Linked DNA regions of Drosophila melanogaster. Changing the gene in region 1 together with any one later gene gives a genetic interaction. Each region holds a gene or a part of one and is shown in the gene's direction. Other genes may lie near its edges. The genes, in order: mGluR, gb and CaMKII.

Region 1 (4,758 bases):
AATTTCTATTGTACTTCCTTTAATTAATTAGTATATTTATTAAGTCATTTGACTTAAAGTGATGTAACATTAGCATTAAAAGTGTTTCAAAAAAAATATTTCGCTTTTAAAAAATTGTCAGATGAGAGACAAATTAGAATTAAACGTAACAAATTTTAACAAACAAATTTAAAAACTTTAAAATTATAATAGTCAGGACGCGAATTTTTAAAAAAATTTTTATTTTATCATATTGCTACGAAATTGGCAAAAACTACCCTAATATGTACAATGTAAATTCGTTTCTTCGATCAGAATTGATTTCGGTCCGAAAATCGTCTTCTAGCACAACGCGCACACATATACGCGTTCTCGTCTCTTGTTTTTACTCACACAAGCAAGCAAACTCCGCGGGAGTGAGCGGAAAGAGAGTAATTTTGGCCGTCACCAAAAAAGTGGCTGCATAGTGCCAAACCAATGTATGGCCGTTACGCATCTTGTTATTCTAGTGTCTTTGCCTAGACTGTAAAGGTCCTTGCTAAAAACTTAAAAAATTTATGCATTTCTTATTAGTTTAATATTTATGTAATAAGCATTACAGGTTTGGCAGGCTTGTGGGTGCTAGAGGGGCGTGGCCAACATCTAATTGGTACACCGATATAAATTTGGAAAACATAAAATTTTTTCAGATAATTAGAAACATGTCTCAATTGTGTGGACGGAATGGGCGCGTGAACAAATTTTTTGCCAAATTGAACAAGACATACAATGAACAATATTACATCAGTGGGCTTTAAAGTGGGCATGGGCGTTTTATTTGACTCGGCTATATAAGTATAAATACATAATATGGTCGAAATTTTTTTCCCCACCTGTTACATACCTTTCAACATATCTAGTATACACTTATCACCTACGTTATCGAGTATATAAATATGTTAATTTTCTTAAAAGAGAATGTGTTTTCCTATATGTATGTGCTGACGTACCTCATCTGGATAATTGTTTTATATTTTGAGGATGGTATATAACTTTCTTAATTTAAGATCTGGAATATATCGATAGTTCAAATTTCTGTAGTTATTATCAATAATATAATATATAAATATGTATGTATCTATATACAAGTATATATACATATGTATAGTATAGTATATATACATAAGGCAAATACAGATGATTAAACGCCGCAAAGATGACGCAAATTTAATTGTTTTAATTATTTGTTAATTTTAGTAAATCGAACTAAGTAAAAAAACAAGATGTGGAAAAGTACATTTCTATTTGACGAATTTAGAGCTACAACATTTTTACTGAAATTCGAGCTCCAGAAAAAACTGTTGTGCTTATTGCAACATCCCTAGGAAAAGTCCATTAGTGTGCCCGTGTAAAACGAACACAATGAGTATAGTGAAAAACCATTGTTAGACAGGTGGTAAGGAGTAAGACTACACAGCTCTCTTAAAAACCGTTATTAAATTTTCATGAGAGAGCATTAATGCTTTTTTCTCTTTGGTATGCTGCCGTAATGGTGCTTTCTCTCTCAAATTCCGTGAGAGATGGACAGTTAGAAGGATTGTTGTAGATTGTTGCTAGTATTGTTGTTCTTTTACTTGGCCACTGCTGCTGGTACCCATTTCTTGGTTGTTGTTGTGCTGCTGCTGCCTCTACAAGAACTGATTTCGTGTTAGCTTATCATGGATAAATCAGTCAACCAACTGGTAATGGTAGGACAAGACGTGCGCGTATTAGTTAAATATAAAAAAGGTTTTAAGAAATGTTGCGATAAAGTTGTATAAGAATTTAAATAAGAAAAAAGGTAATTTAATTGTGAACATTATAAATAATTTTTCTAAAGAAAAGAGTTGTGAATAGTGATAAAATTTATTAATTATTGCACATTTTAAAGTTGTTCAATGTTCATCATAAAACAAGGAATCTCGTTGACAAAAATAAACACAATTAAAAAAGTTGCACTTTTCCACACGTACATAAGATAGTTGCACATGAAACCTACTGTAAAGGACTCAATATTTTACAATAACTTTGTACATATATGAAAATAACTGCAGATAAGTATGAGTGCCCTTTTTTAGGGCTTTCGCTAACACATTGCTTTTGCAGCTTCAGAGCAACGCCATCATCAGTACCATTCTTTTTGGTACTTGGCTTGTCCTTACATTCCAAAGCTTTTGCTGTTACGTGTTAATAGTGCTTTTACCACAGGCAAGAACCACTAAATTATATAGAAAACCAAGTATTATGAAAATGCTTGGTGTTCTGACAATCCCACACCTGTTGGAAGTGCCCAACAATTTTGGCTATAAATAATGTTTTACCTGGTGTGCTAAGTAAATACTCATTTTTTGTTTTAATACCAGTGCAGAGAGTATATTTATATCAATCTTAATATTTTTAGTTTTAGAAAAAATTGGGCATGGATTTAAAAACGAGCCTACGTGATTTAATTGTTTTTATTTTCAAAATGTATCGGTATGCCAAAAATATTATTATAGCTTTCTCCCTACTTATACCCGTTACTCGTAGTGTGTTCGTTAAAAAGTATGTACCAAGAGAGGGTAGCGTTTTCGACCATATAAAGTATATATATTCTTGATCAGGATCAATAACCAACCCGTCATGTCCTTCTGTCCGACCGAATAAACGTCGAGATCTAAGAAACTATTAAAGATTACAGATACTAGGGACAAAGACGCCTACCACCCCTACACTTTTGGAAAATGTTTTGATTTTTCTTCGTTTTATTGTTTGTCTTGCCAATTTCACCGGTATACGCCCAAAACTGTCACGCGCAAACTGTTGAACAATTTTTTAGTTTTTTCTCATTTTATTTTCCAATATCTATCGATATACCAGAAAATTTATGAATTTTCTAGTTCGCGTTTCCACCAGTTGAGTAACGGATATCTGATAGTCGGGGAACTCGACTATCTCTTATTTTATATTATTATTTGTTTAGCTTAAAAACGCCCACACTCATTTTTGAAAAATTGTTGTTTTTATTTCGTTAAGAGATTTGTCTTTTATGATTTCTATCGACAGGGCAAAAATGGTTGAAATTTCTCCATCGCACTCCAGCAAGTTGAGAAACGGCTATCTGACAGTCGATGAACTCGACTATTTCATTAACTCTTGTTTCTGTTTAAATATAATAAGCTTGTAATATATTTTTAATTATAGAATTTTTTCGGTTCCCATAGACAAGCATCAACCAAGGACATGCAAAAACATGAACCTGAATTTCACGTTGCGGGCCTAATACATTGTTAACTTAAATCATCCACGTGTCTTTAAAAAGATGAAACAGAAAAATAATAACGGAACAATTTTAGTCGTCGTGATGGTTTTATCCTGGAGTCGAGTAGTAGACTTAAAAAGTCCTAGTAACACACATACTCAGGATTCAGTGTCTGTTTCTCTGCCTGGCGACATTATACTTGGTGGGCTATTTCCGGTCCATGAAAAAGGTGAAGGTGCCCCTTGCGGACCAAAAGTATATAATAGGGGAGTTCAACGCCTGGAAGCAATGCTGTATGCTATAGATCGTGTAAACAATGACCCCAACATACTTCCTGGAATTACGATAGGAGTCCATATACTTGACACCTGTTCAAGAGACACATATGCCCTCAATCAGTCGCTTCAATTTGTCAGAGCATCCCTAAACAATTTAGACACATCAGGATATGAGTGTGCAGATGGGTCAAGCCCGCAACTAAGAAAAAATGCTTCGTCAGGCCCAGTTTTTGGAGTTATTGGCGGGTCCTACAGTTCAGTGTCCTTGCAAGTGGCCAATTTGCTGCGTCTGTTTCATATTCCTCAAGTATCACCGGCCTCAACCGCTAAAACGCTTTCGGACAAAACACGCTTTGATCTGTTTGCTCGAACAGTACCTCCAGACACTTTCCAATCCGTAGCCCTCGTGGACATACTAAAAAACTTTAACTGGTCATACGTATCAACGATACATTCGGAAGGATCTTATGGTGAGTCTTAATCAATGTTCTGAAAGCAGAAAATTGTATACCCTTTCGGTAATTATTTATCATAATTAAATAAAAAATCAAGAGAGAATGCCCTGACTATTAGATACCTGTTACTTAGCTAGTAAAAGTGCGAAAGAGAAATTTCAACATTTTCTGAAATACCGGTAGAACTTAGTAACAGAAGTTTAAAATTAAAAACAATTAACAATTGAAATGTATTGTACGGTTTGTTGGCGTTTGAGGAATAGAAAAATGTTTTTAAATATAGAAATTTACAATAAAAGTCTATATATAAAATATAAAAACGTTTTTTAAAAGTTTAAGCGTGGAATTTTTGGCTTGTGGGCGTTAGAGTGAGCAACATCGGGAAACAATCTTGCGCCTCGTCTATGTCATGCATGCTCAATCTTAATTGTCTAGCTTTTATACTTCCTTAGATTGAGGCGTTTATACGGACAGACGGGCATTCAAACCGAATTTTATGATAACAAATATCGAATTCTGATTTTTATTAACGTAAAGTATATATATTCTTAATAAGGGCCAATAGCCGAGTCGATCTGCCCCTGTCCGTCCGTCTGTCTGTTCGTCCAGTATGTCCCGTATGAACGTCCAGATTTCAGGAACTATGAAAGCTAAAAGGCTGAGATGATGCATGCTGATTCTAGAGCCCACTCTTACGCCCACTTCTGAAAAATGTATTGAAACTTCTTCGTGTTATTGTTTGTCTTGACATTTTCTATTTGTATACCACTTCGGCTACTCCCCTTGT
Region 2 (6,328 bases), on another chromosome or scaffold:
GGGAATTGCCGCCCGCCCTGTGATCTCTGAACATCCGATGAAGGAGTCTGTCGCGTCTTTGCAGCTGCCGGAATTTTTCGGCGATCCAAGGTTGAGATGCTTGACTGATCCCTAGGTGGAAACTCCCTTACAGTTCCCTTTAGGGAAGTAGCTGCATAGGGGTTCTTGGATGGGACATCCCTGCTAGAGCTGGAGCTCGGTTTTCCAACCGCCGATGCAGTTGCGCCAGGTCTGGCAGTCAATTGAGCTGATTTAGTAGCGGGCCTTGAGCTCGAGACAGAACTGCGACTGGCGGAGGAATGGGAATTGGAACTGGATAAACTGGTGGAGCTCGCGCTGCTTTTCGTTGGCTGTGGGGCAGTTGGTTTTTTAAAACTATCACTTGGTGCATTGGCTGGCTTGGCTTGATTAAGCTTGGGGATGCGTCCGTTAGGCTCCATGCGATTGGGGATGGATTTCGGAGTCTCCTTGCCTTCACTTTCGCGCATCTTGAGACGCTGGGCGCGCTGCTCCTGTTGCCGCTGGCGCTCTTCCAACTCGCGTTTCTCACGGGCCGACAACAAACGCTCTGGTTCCTTTTTTTTCTCCACCTCAAAAACCACGGGCTCGTGCTGTTTCTTTTCAGCTAAGCGAAGCAAGGCTTGGAAGTCCATGGGCGGCGGCTGAGCAGGTCGTTTTATCTTCGCCCGGCGCTGCTCCTCCTCCTGCCGCTTTTTGCGCTCCTCCTCGAGCTTCTCTGCGTTCGGATCATAAAGAGTCTTGGAGGTACTGTAAGAACGGGCCACGGAGGACTCCTTCGACTTGGTAGCGCTGGATGGGAGTGTGCTTGTGCTGCTTTTCTGACGTGTGTTACCCTTGGCCTCCTCTCGTTCCCTGGTAATGGCCGCCTTCACGCGCTCCTTGGTCCCAGAGAGATCTTTTAGCGACTGTGGCCTGCTGGGCGTGAATCCCTTGTCTTCCTGTACATCGCGTACCTTTTCAATGTACTTATCGTAAAAGGCATTCGCTTCAGTGGACACGTAGCCGTAGTCATCGCCCTGACCCTCGCCCGCCTCGTGGCCGTCGATGGCCCCCTCGTAGTCTTTGGCATCCTCCAGCACTGATTTGTTGGCCGATTTGGTTACCTTTAGCATTTTACGTATCTTGTTCTTGGACTTTTCGTCTCTTTTGGCGAGCAGATCGTTGAGTTTCTGGCGCTCCAGCCGTTTCTTTTCCGCCTCCTCGGCCTCCTTCTTTTGGAGAAACTTCTGGATGTTGCTGGACAGCTGCTTGGACTCCTTGGACTGCTTCTTGGGGGGCGAATACTTGGTGCTGTAGTATTTCCCCTGCCCCTGGCGATAGAGGAGAAAAATTACAATGATCAGATCGAATATAAATTATTTTGGGTCACAAAGGGAATGCAGGCGCAACCGCGTTTTCCAAGCATAAAATCTCACGCGATGGACGAACTGGACATCTGCATGATACCCACCACCTCCTTGGTGACCGCATCACTATTTTTTTTCGCGTAGCGCAGCAGGTCCCCAAAATCCATTTTGTGATCTGTATTTCTCTGTCGATTTGCTTTTAGCTCATCTATTTGGATACTGATATCGATTGGCGATAGGCGATAGACGTGGTCTACTTTTCGTTTCGATAAGAAATCAGAGGAGAGCACGTGAGAGCACGTACGCTCACGCAGTAATTGTATATTAATTCTCGTTAATATTTCAATATATGGAATGTATAAAATTCAGTTTTCAATTTCATTTTACCCTTATGTACGGGACCGACAGCGGGAAAGTCGGCGGGGCCATATTGTATATATATTATTTTTGAATAAAAAATTGCACCCTGTAGCTCGCAAGAAAAACACCCCAGCATCAATTGATATTCTACAGTCAGCCGGGCGCTGGTCACACTGCTGCGATGCTCGAGAAAACGTGGGGTTGAAAAACCTTTGAGCAACGTTGTGCCAATTCCACAATTAAACCGCAGAGTTTGCACAATTTGGCGGTTACACCTCGATGTCTGCCCTTATTTACCAGACCCATTAACCGAATTCCGCGAGACAGAGTGTGAATTGTTCTTTTAAATCGCGAGTTTTATGTGCGATAGACTCAACTGCAGGGTGTGTTGCTGGTGCGAGCGAGACGGCAGCTAGCGAAGAGCCGACCAAAACAAACTAACGCTAGCCGGCGGAAAAGGAAGAAGAGGAAGAGCAGGAGTAGATAAGCCAAATACAATACAATTGAAAAACACATTAAGAAATATACACACACGCACATATGTACACGGAGTCACACCCACGAACACACTTGCCTCGTTTAATCAATTAACGGGACAACGGCCAAAGAAACAGTTACAGTTCGCTTTCAGACGTCGCGTGCGAAGATTGTGTCACAGAGCAGCGGGATAATAATACCATAGCCCTAGGACATAATACGTACATATATAGCCGCCATGCCCGCCGCCGATGAACTGCAGTCGCCGTCCAGCGAAATGGTCCTGCTGACCCCCAGCTCCGGCAATCCTCCCTCCAGCATTGCCCAACCAGCGGCTAATCCTGCCGAGAAAGCTCAGTGTCGCGAGGGATCCGCCGAGTCAGACAGCAGCAGGGTTGTGATCAAGAAGCAGCTGGGCCTCCTCGAAGGAGTGGCCATCATCCTGGGCATCATCTTCGGATCCGGTATCTTTGTTTCTCCGAAAGGCGTCATCCGGGAGGTGGAGTCCGTGGGCGCTTCGCTGGTCATCTGGGTTCTCTGCGGACTGCTGTCCATGATTGGTGCTCTTTGCTACGCGGAACTTGGTACTGCCATACCAAAATCTGGGGGGGATTACGCGTATATCTTCGAGGCCTACGGATCACTGCCGGCTTTCCTGTATCTCTGGGATGCCATGATGATATTCGTGTGAGTCTTACTGGTCAATATTGTTTTAATATTCGCGAATATTTCGCCGTTAAAGTTCCCTTATCACAGTTGGTTCGAAAAACATAAATACAGTATCAAATTCCTTTCGGTAATTGATTTCGAATTACTTTATTATCGCCAGAAGGAACCCATTAGAGTAAAAGTAATAGCTGACATTTTTTTTTCTTTTTTGCGTTTTTACGTTTTTTTTAACGAAATAACATATGTATGTAGATTGAATGAAGTGAAGTAGTCCTACAGAATCTGATTTTTAGACTGGGTCAAGTTTAATAACTTCTCAGATAAGACTAGAAGAATGGAATACTTCGGATTGGTGTGGATGCATCCGGTTTTTCAAGGTTAAGCCATGGGTTGTGTATTAGAGCATTAGAAAGTGAAACGAGCCTTATCATTTAATCTGCGCTATATAAGTTTATTTATTGAACAGTTCCGCGAGTTCTGCATTGAGCGTTTTATTGCCTGCTATATTTGTTGTTTAGGATCGGCGATAAGCGAAAATATCTGCTTTTCTACTTTTGCATGCGGACATTATCAGCAGGACATATGTCTGAATGCAGTCTGCAAAAAAATTTCCACTGATTGTGTGCTCTTATCTCTGACAGACCAACGACCAATGCCATTATGGGCCTGACCTTTGCCTCCTACGTGCTGGAACCCTTCTTCGGCGGAGCCTGTGAGATTCCCAAAATAGCGTTACAGCTCCTGGCAGCCATCACCATCTGCTTCCTAACCTACCTGAATTCGTACTACATGAAGGTGACCACCAAGATGCAAAACGTCATCATGTTCACCAAGATCGCCGCCCTGGTCTTGATCATCCTGGTAGGCCTGGTCTGGATGATGATGGGCAACGTGGAGAACTTCACGAGACCCTTTGATAACACTGAGACTGATCCCGGCAAGATGTCGGTAGCCTTTTACTCCGGTATCTTTTCCTATGCCGGATGGAATTACTTGAACTTCATGACGGAGGAGCTCCGCGATCCATATCGCAACCTGCCGCGCGCCATTTACATCTCCCTACCTCTGGTCACCGGCATTTATGTGCTGGCCAATGTGGCTTATCTGGCCGTGCTGTCGCCCTCGGAGATGATCGCATCCAATGCCATCGCTGTGGTAAGAGTTTATCCACGATTTGCAGTCCGATCAGATTAGGCAGTCAAATTACTAATTTACTTAAAAGCTTAAAATCTGTTAGTTATCAAGCATAATGCAAGCCCTATAATGTCCGACTTTGTCTATTTGTAGCTTAAATTCGCAAAATTGCGATAGACTGCTGGGAATTTTAATTTATTTGATCGGAATCGCAAAAGTCAATTAAACCAGTGGATTTTCAAATGATTTTAATTGATCACTTCTCTTCACAGACCTTTGGCGATAAGATTCTCGGCGTGTTTTCACTGATCATACCCCTCATGGTGGCCATATCTGCTTTTGGCGGCCTTTCCGTCCACATCATGACCTCCTCCCGCATCTGCTTCGTGGGTGCCCGCAATGGACACATGCCGGCGATTCTGTCGCACATCAGCGTAAAGAGCTACACCCCACTGCCGTCGCTCGTTTTTCTGGTGAGCTGCGCTCCTCAATTAGCGCACAAATGATATTATGTAATTAATCCCTAATTGATTTGACTGTGTCCCTCTCGGCAGTGCTTTCTCTCCATTGTGATGCTGGTGGTGAGCGATGTGTATGTGCTGATCACCTACGCCAGCATTGTGGAATCGTTCTTTATAATGTTGTCGGTGTCGGCGGTTCTATATTTCCGCTACACCCGTCCCTGCATGGAGCGGCCAATTAAAGTGAGTTTAGCGTAATCAGTATTGCCAATGTAGACGTTCTACAGCCAACGAAATCTTTGTACTGACAAAAATTTAAATACTTTGATTATGTCTTTGAGCCTAACAGTTTAGCAAGACTATTCTAACTATATTTGTTCCTGGCACAGGTCGCCATGTGGATTCCCGCCCTATTCGTCATCGTGTGCGCATTCTTAGTTGTCGTGCCCATCTATGTGGCGCCCTATGAGGTCGGAATGGGGGTATTAATCACCATAATTGGCATACCTTTCTACTACGTGGGCGTCGTGTGGAAGAATAAGCCGAAATGGGTGCAGAGCACGATTGGTGAGTAGCCCTTCACATTAACCCCAATGTGTGGCATTGTCCGACATTTATATGGTTTTCCTTTGTAGACTCGGTGACCTTCACTTGCCAGAAGCTCTTCATGTCCGCCAAAGAGGAGAAGGAGGACTAAACTGCCATCGAAATGAAATGGAATCATTTTTCAAAACGATCTAGCTATTTGGCCCTCCAAATAACTACCTATTAAATCTCTATATTGATGTGAAAGCTTGAGAACGAGAAAGCTTGGCTCGTTAAACCTGAATACCAAAAAACGAAAATACCTAAAAAAGCGGAAAACATGACCTGTACATCACAAGGACTGGAGAACGAAGTCAATACTATCATATTTCTATATTTATATTTATAAACCATGACAAAAACTTTTACCTAAAGTGCAAATTCTTCGAATAGTAGTTTAGTATTGAGTTCTAGTTTAGCATTTATTTTGCACTCATTAAATTCGAAATCTAAACCAAAGTAAGCCAAAACTGTTTGCCAAAGGTGCGATATTCAGGTCGATATTTGCCATATAAAGCAGTTTCATATAATCTTCTGTTGCTTATTGTTTAAAAATTCGGTTATTGTTTTTGTCCCTCATTTTACTACCTAAGTGCATTGCATTGCAGTTTGTAATAAAGATTTTTGTACGTTTCATCGACGAACCGCTTTGAATTCAATCTTTTAGGCGCCCCTCGCGAAAGTATGCCACAAGATTTTAGCGAATGATAAAGCAAAACAATTGATAAGGTTGAATTGATTGAGCATTGCGTGGGATGTAAGCCCATGCCTTCGCTAATCAATTAGGGCTGATAAGTAATGGGTCTATTTTAAGCCATTCTCGACGGACGACAAGTCGCGATTTTTGGCCAAAAATAAATCGCCTCCTGTCGCCCCCATTGACATTTTGGACACTCGGAGGCTTGTGGAATGACGCCAACTCTATATTCGATCACTGATAGAGTATTCCGTGCGGATCCATTCTACCGTCTAGGTGTTTTTAATTGATAAAACTGGTGCGCTTATCTGGGATTCTCAGCACGGTTTGCAGGTGCGCCCGTCTATGCGAAATCTGGGCGAGAGTAGTGGGCTGATTTGTATGCACCGTATTCGGCGTCTCGTTTAATGTCTTTTTAAGTATTTATATGCGAGGAGTGAGTATGTCTAGTTACCAGATCGCTCGTAAAATTGCCTCAATCGGATTTGATGTTTTTCATTATGGCCAAATAATTGAGTTATTGCGACTCGAGGAGCATCTCAAGTGCGTTGGGAGGCTCCCCGAATCGTGGTTGTAAG
Region 3 (5,041 bases), 110 kb from region 1:
CTGGGTCAACACAGATTCTAATATATACATGAGTATACACATATACATATATTTGATATATGTATGGTCTCTTACTGTGTATATGCCAACTAATATTAAATACTTTTTTCGCGCGTATAACGATTGCATATTGTAAAGTTAATATATATATTCACACGCTTCACTTATATCTTAAAAGGACATTTATACAACATCAGTATGTACCCCATTTTGTGCCTTTGTTCAGTTACGCAGTAAATATAAATATATGACACTTAAAAATTTTGTAATTGTTATTGCACAATATACATACATCTTACAAATTACTCTTGATATCTACAAGAAAGTTTAAAACATACCTAAATACTTACGAGTTATGATAAATGCTTTTTTTTTAATTTTAAAAAAGTGTTTCACATTCTATATATCGTCCCTCCTAGTCCGAAAAATGGGTTTAGTAAAACATTTCTGAAGGTCTCATCCAAATAGTATATTTAATTCGCGTACATAGCGCGTGTTTATATGATTTAATGAAAAAGTATAATTTGCAACAAGTAATTTCCAAGACCCTGAAATATCCTTGCTAAAAGGGGTGGGGCGTTTTACCATTAAGCTCATCAAAAAAAGCTTCAACGCATGTAACCTGCAAAGGATACATACCTACATATATATGTACGTATATATATAACTGCTTCCCAGATACATTCTCATAATCAGGATTTTCTTTTTTAAGAAATTAACCAAAAACACCTGTCGCTTTTTTTAATTGATTGAAATATGTCAATGAGAGTTAAATATATCTGGTTTAAAACAAAGATAATAAAGTTTTGATCACAAATTTTAAACTTTTCGTAACATTTGACTTGACAATATTATATTATAAGTATGTTATTTCAAAATTGCGAGGGTGCAATTAAGGGTCTACATATACCTTTTCCAGGGAAACACTTCTTTTTCATGGTGATTGGGTCTAGTTTTAAAAAAACACGTACAACAAACTAAAAACTAACAGTACCGCTGTTACCGGATATGGCAAAAAACAAACCTCACGGAGAGGTATAAAACAAGAGAGAACGTGACAGTAGTTCATCGACTATTTAACAACCCGACAGAAATGTGCAAAATAAAAGAATAAATAAAAATAATGAAACAAAAAAACAAAACACTTTGTAAATGTGTGGGCAAAATCGAAATAAAAGATTTCAAGACTGAAAGAAGCAAATTATTTTTCAAAAAAATTGGAGTTACAGTTTTAGGCGGATTAAATGTCTGGTTCTCAAGAAAACAAATTTGCATGCTTTATCCCATGCCTGTCGTCCGTATCAACGCTGTTACCGCTGAAACTATAATAACTGGAAAGTAAAACGAAAAAATAATTTCCATTTTTTATTCCTTTACTCAATACGTAATATAGGTTAATAGTAATGATTGTTGCTGCTCTTGATCAGCTGGCTATCACACTAGCTTCGTTGAAAAGTATGTAACTTGCAGAACGACGCGTTTCCGAGCGTTTAAACTATATATAGTCTTCACCAGGATCAATAGCCGAGTCGAATTTTCATGTCCGTCTATCTGTATGAACTCCACGATCTCAGGAACTATAAAAGCTAGAAAGTTAAGATTGTGCCATGCCCTTTTTAAGTTTTCGTTTATTTTTTTTCAAAAAATTGTTGAAATTGTTTTGCCAATTTTAATCGGTACGCCAGAAAAATGTTTAATATTCTCGTTCATACTTCCACTAGCTGAGTAACAATTATCTGATAGTCGAAAAGCTTTACTATAGCGTTTTCTCTTGTTTTAATTCTGCAATGGATTCGTATTTTTTCAGGGCCATAGTTTAATTTGATATTGAAAACGCCACTGAGTGGTTGATATGCATATCGATGTAAGGCCCGTTTACACTGCACTAACCGCGGAGTTATGGTTTTACATATGTAGATACCTTTGCTATTTTGATGTGCATGGGGAACAGTTAAGTGTAGCTTTGGTAAGGAGTTGACCCCTATGTTTAATAATCGAGTTTATTACATTTTTCGTCTATCGAATGTCATGTCATCTCTAGGCAACAACAAGGTATCAGATTCAACGTTTGAGATAGGATAATACATTTTCAGACATTTTTCAATTTGTGCCCCCGCACATGTTGTTTCTTGCGAAGTATGGTGTTTTTTCGTATGATTTCATGATCACATGAAAAAACTTCAACCACCAAAATCTTCAAAATGGAGGTCGAGTTTTCTAGTTTAAGCAACGTGCTTTAAGAGAACTCACTTGAATTACCAACTCAATAAGAAACCTGCGGCTGTTTAAAATAACATAACCCTTATATTATTACAAACCATTTAAAATTTGAAGAACTATATGTAGATTGCTGGTCTGTTTTGCATCGACTCCACTGAGTAATATAGAATTTTAAAATTGGAATAGCGAGACATTCTTTTAATTTTACCGATATGTGTTTCTATGAAATAAGTTACCTAATCTGTGCTCTGAATACTTCTGAATTACATTGGCGAGCTTTACTTTACGAGCTTCATGCCCGATCTTATACAGAGAAGAATGCAAGTTTATACTATGATGGCCGGGGGATTCTCAAATACATGCAGTACCCCTTTGGATACCATAGAACCAACGCTGTCTGAAACTTTTGAACCAGCTAGTGATTACTTTATAACAAAATAATATTTAGAGAAGGCCCATGGTACCTAAATGGTACAACAATGTATGTATGTTTGTACGTTGTAAGCAATTTTTTGTATAATTTTTGTAAAACTGATTTATTATCTTATATTTAAAAATCGTTTAGAAAACAAGAAATAAAACTCCTGAAAAGTGAAATCTGTAGAGCAGTTGAAGATCTTTAGTCGCAATAGATTTTCTTAAGTGTGCCATCGCGATGGCTGCACCAGCAGCCTGTACGCGTTTTTCGGACAATTACGACATCAAAGAAGAGTTGGGAAAGTAAGTTTAACAAACTCAAGGTTAATAAATTTATTATAATAACCCGTCTATTAACATTTCAGAGGAGCATTCTCAATTGTGAAAAGATGTGTCCAAAAGTCAACTGGCTTTGAATTTGCTGCAAAAATTATCAATACAAAAAAATTAACTGCCAGAGGTAAGGCTTTCTGTGTTCTATGTAGGTTATAAATCACATATGTACGCATTTATGCTATGCACACGCATGTAGGGAAACTAAGTGCTGTTTTTAGGTAATTCGTCGAGTACAGTAAAAGGGTATACTAGATCCTTGATCCTTGGAAAGTATGTATATTCTTGATCAGGATCAATAGCCGAGTCCGTCTCTCCGTATGGTCGTCGAGATCTCAGAAACTATACAAGCTAGAAGGCATACAGATTTTAGAAACAAATACGCAGCGCAAGTTTGTTGACCCATGTTGCCACATGCGCCACGCCCTCACTTTTGAAAAATGTGTTGATATTTTTTCACATTTGTATTGGTCTTGTAAATTTCTATCGATTTGCTCAAAAAAAAGTTTGCCACGCCCATTCTAACGCCCTTTAACTTCTATCGATTTGCTTAAAAGCCGCCAACCGGTCACGTCCACACTTTGGACCAATTTTTAAACTTTTTTCTTATTTTATTCCCCAATATCTATCGTTATCCTAGAAAAATGATGAAATTTCGCGTTCCCATTCACACTAGCTGAGTAACTGGTATCTGATGCCGTTTTTTCAACGGCGATATGGCATATCGTAAGAAATCAGTAGTAAACATTGACTGTCAAAAAGTTTTCCTGTAAAATGTACTTTCTTTTTGCTAAGTACGCTTTTGGAAGGGACCATTCTTTTTGTGTAATATCTTCGTCGTCCCTATCTATTTGCCACACAAGTATCAAATAGTTCTACAGTAATTAAGTTGTATTTCTTGGTGTTGTGCTATTTAGTAATTAATAAATTTTTACTGCCAAGACGTGGCCAAAATAATTTTGGAATAGCAGTATTGGCAAAGTGTGTAATTTACAAAAAATATATTAAATAACTTTTAAGAAGTTTGAGCATGACAGCTGGGACAAATTTTGGGCTTAGAGAGAACCATTTGCTTGCTCGCCAAAAACCTCTTATTAACATATTTGTACACATGCATGTATGCATATAAGAGATGCTTATAATATATATATATATATATTTTTTTTTTTTGCTTTTAGACTTTCAAAAACTGGAACGTGAAGCAAGGATCTGCAGAAAGTTACACCATCCCAACATAGGTATGCAACGTGTATATAAATATAATTTACTTACTTATTCTTTAAAGATACGTTTTTCTGAAGATGTATGATCTACATAAAAGTAGACGAACATGGCCTAATATCACTTTGAACATCTACTATACATAATTTTTATATGTACATTCAATCACGGCTTAGACCCCAGTAGTGTTGATGACTTGCAATGTGATCCTGATAAAGGATGGTTTGACGTCCACGGTAACACAACGAAGAAAAAAATAAAATAGAGTTTAGTAGATATATCAATCCGCATCTGCAAGCAACATTCCATTCCTCGCCCTCCCTACTCTCCAATAACAAATCTTCCAAGTAATTTATAATTATAATAATTATAAAAACTTGCAGAACAGCAAAAACCGAACTCATGCAATAGACTTTCCTCTCACTAAAAGCGTAACCTAACAAAACAGTTATTTACACGGACAGTTCAAATCTAGAAACATCACTTCCTCCAGCGTCACCGACAAAATATATAATATGTTCAAAATGTATTTTATAAACATATATTTTTATAGCCTTTAAGGCTTATAATCATTGTCATCCGTAAAAAAAAAACATTAAATACAAATGTATACAACTAATAAATTGTTAATATGTACAATTTCAGTGCGGCTACATGACAGTATACAGGAGGAGAACTATCACTACCTTGTTTTTGACCTGTAAGCATTAACCTGCATAGACTCCTTACCAAATATTTAAATTGCCTATCCCCAAAAGTGTTTTAAAAATATGAGTTTCTAACAAATGCTTGTAAATGTGGCAATGACTCGACTATTGTTTATTGAGATTCATACTTCATCCTTTTCCCT

What was found.
Region 2: of mGluR (region 1) and gb, changing one suppresses a phenotype caused by changing the other (phenotypic suppression), as found in Drosophila melanogaster (one study listed by BioGRID).
Region 3: of mGluR (region 1) and CaMKII, changing one suppresses a phenotype caused by changing the other (phenotypic suppression), as found in Drosophila melanogaster (one study listed by BioGRID).

Annotation. Positions count from the first base shown.
Region 1 is NC_004353.4:935,132-939,889, forward strand, and holds the start of mGluR (metabotropic glutamate receptor), read left to right. Parts: upstream 1-1,687; 5' UTR 1,688-1,798; intron 1,799-3,200; 5' UTR 3,201-3,298; coding exon 3,299-3,986; intron 3,987-4,758. UniProt on the Drosophila melanogaster protein: G-protein coupled receptor for glutamate. Ligand binding causes a conformation change that triggers signaling via guanine nucleotide-binding proteins (G proteins) and modulates the activity of down-stream effectors.
Region 2 is NT_033777.3:27,107,834-27,114,161, reverse strand, and holds gb (genderblind), read left to right. Parts: upstream 1-1,891; 5' UTR 1,892-2,442; coding exon 2,443-2,891; intron 2,892-3,128; exon of another isoform or gene 3,129-3,514; coding exon 3,515-4,028; exon of another isoform or gene 4,029-4,279; coding exon 4,280-4,480; exon of another isoform or gene 4,481-4,561; coding exon 4,562-4,711; exon of another isoform or gene 4,712-4,833; intron 4,834-4,857; coding exon 4,858-5,035; intron 5,036-5,103; coding exon 5,104-5,165; 3' UTR 5,166-5,695; downstream 5,696-6,328. Other genes in the region: CG5815 (uncharacterized protein), read right to left, coding at 1-1,331, 1,472-1,534.
Region 3 is NC_004353.4:1,048,354-1,053,394, reverse strand, and holds the start of CaMKII (Calcium/calmodulin-dependent protein kinase II), read left to right. Parts: upstream 1-2,016; 5' UTR 2,017-2,052; exon of another isoform or gene 2,053-2,701; intron 2,702-2,785; 5' UTR 2,786-2,875; coding exon 2,876-2,940; intron 2,941-3,002; coding exon 3,003-3,097; intron 3,098-4,148; coding exon 4,149-4,208; intron 4,209-4,836; coding exon 4,837-4,891; intron 4,892-5,041. UniProt on the Drosophila melanogaster protein: A key regulator of plasticity in synaptic physiology and behavior, alterations in its activity produce pleiotrophic effects that involve synaptic transmission and development as well as various aspects of behavior. Directly modulates eag potassium channels.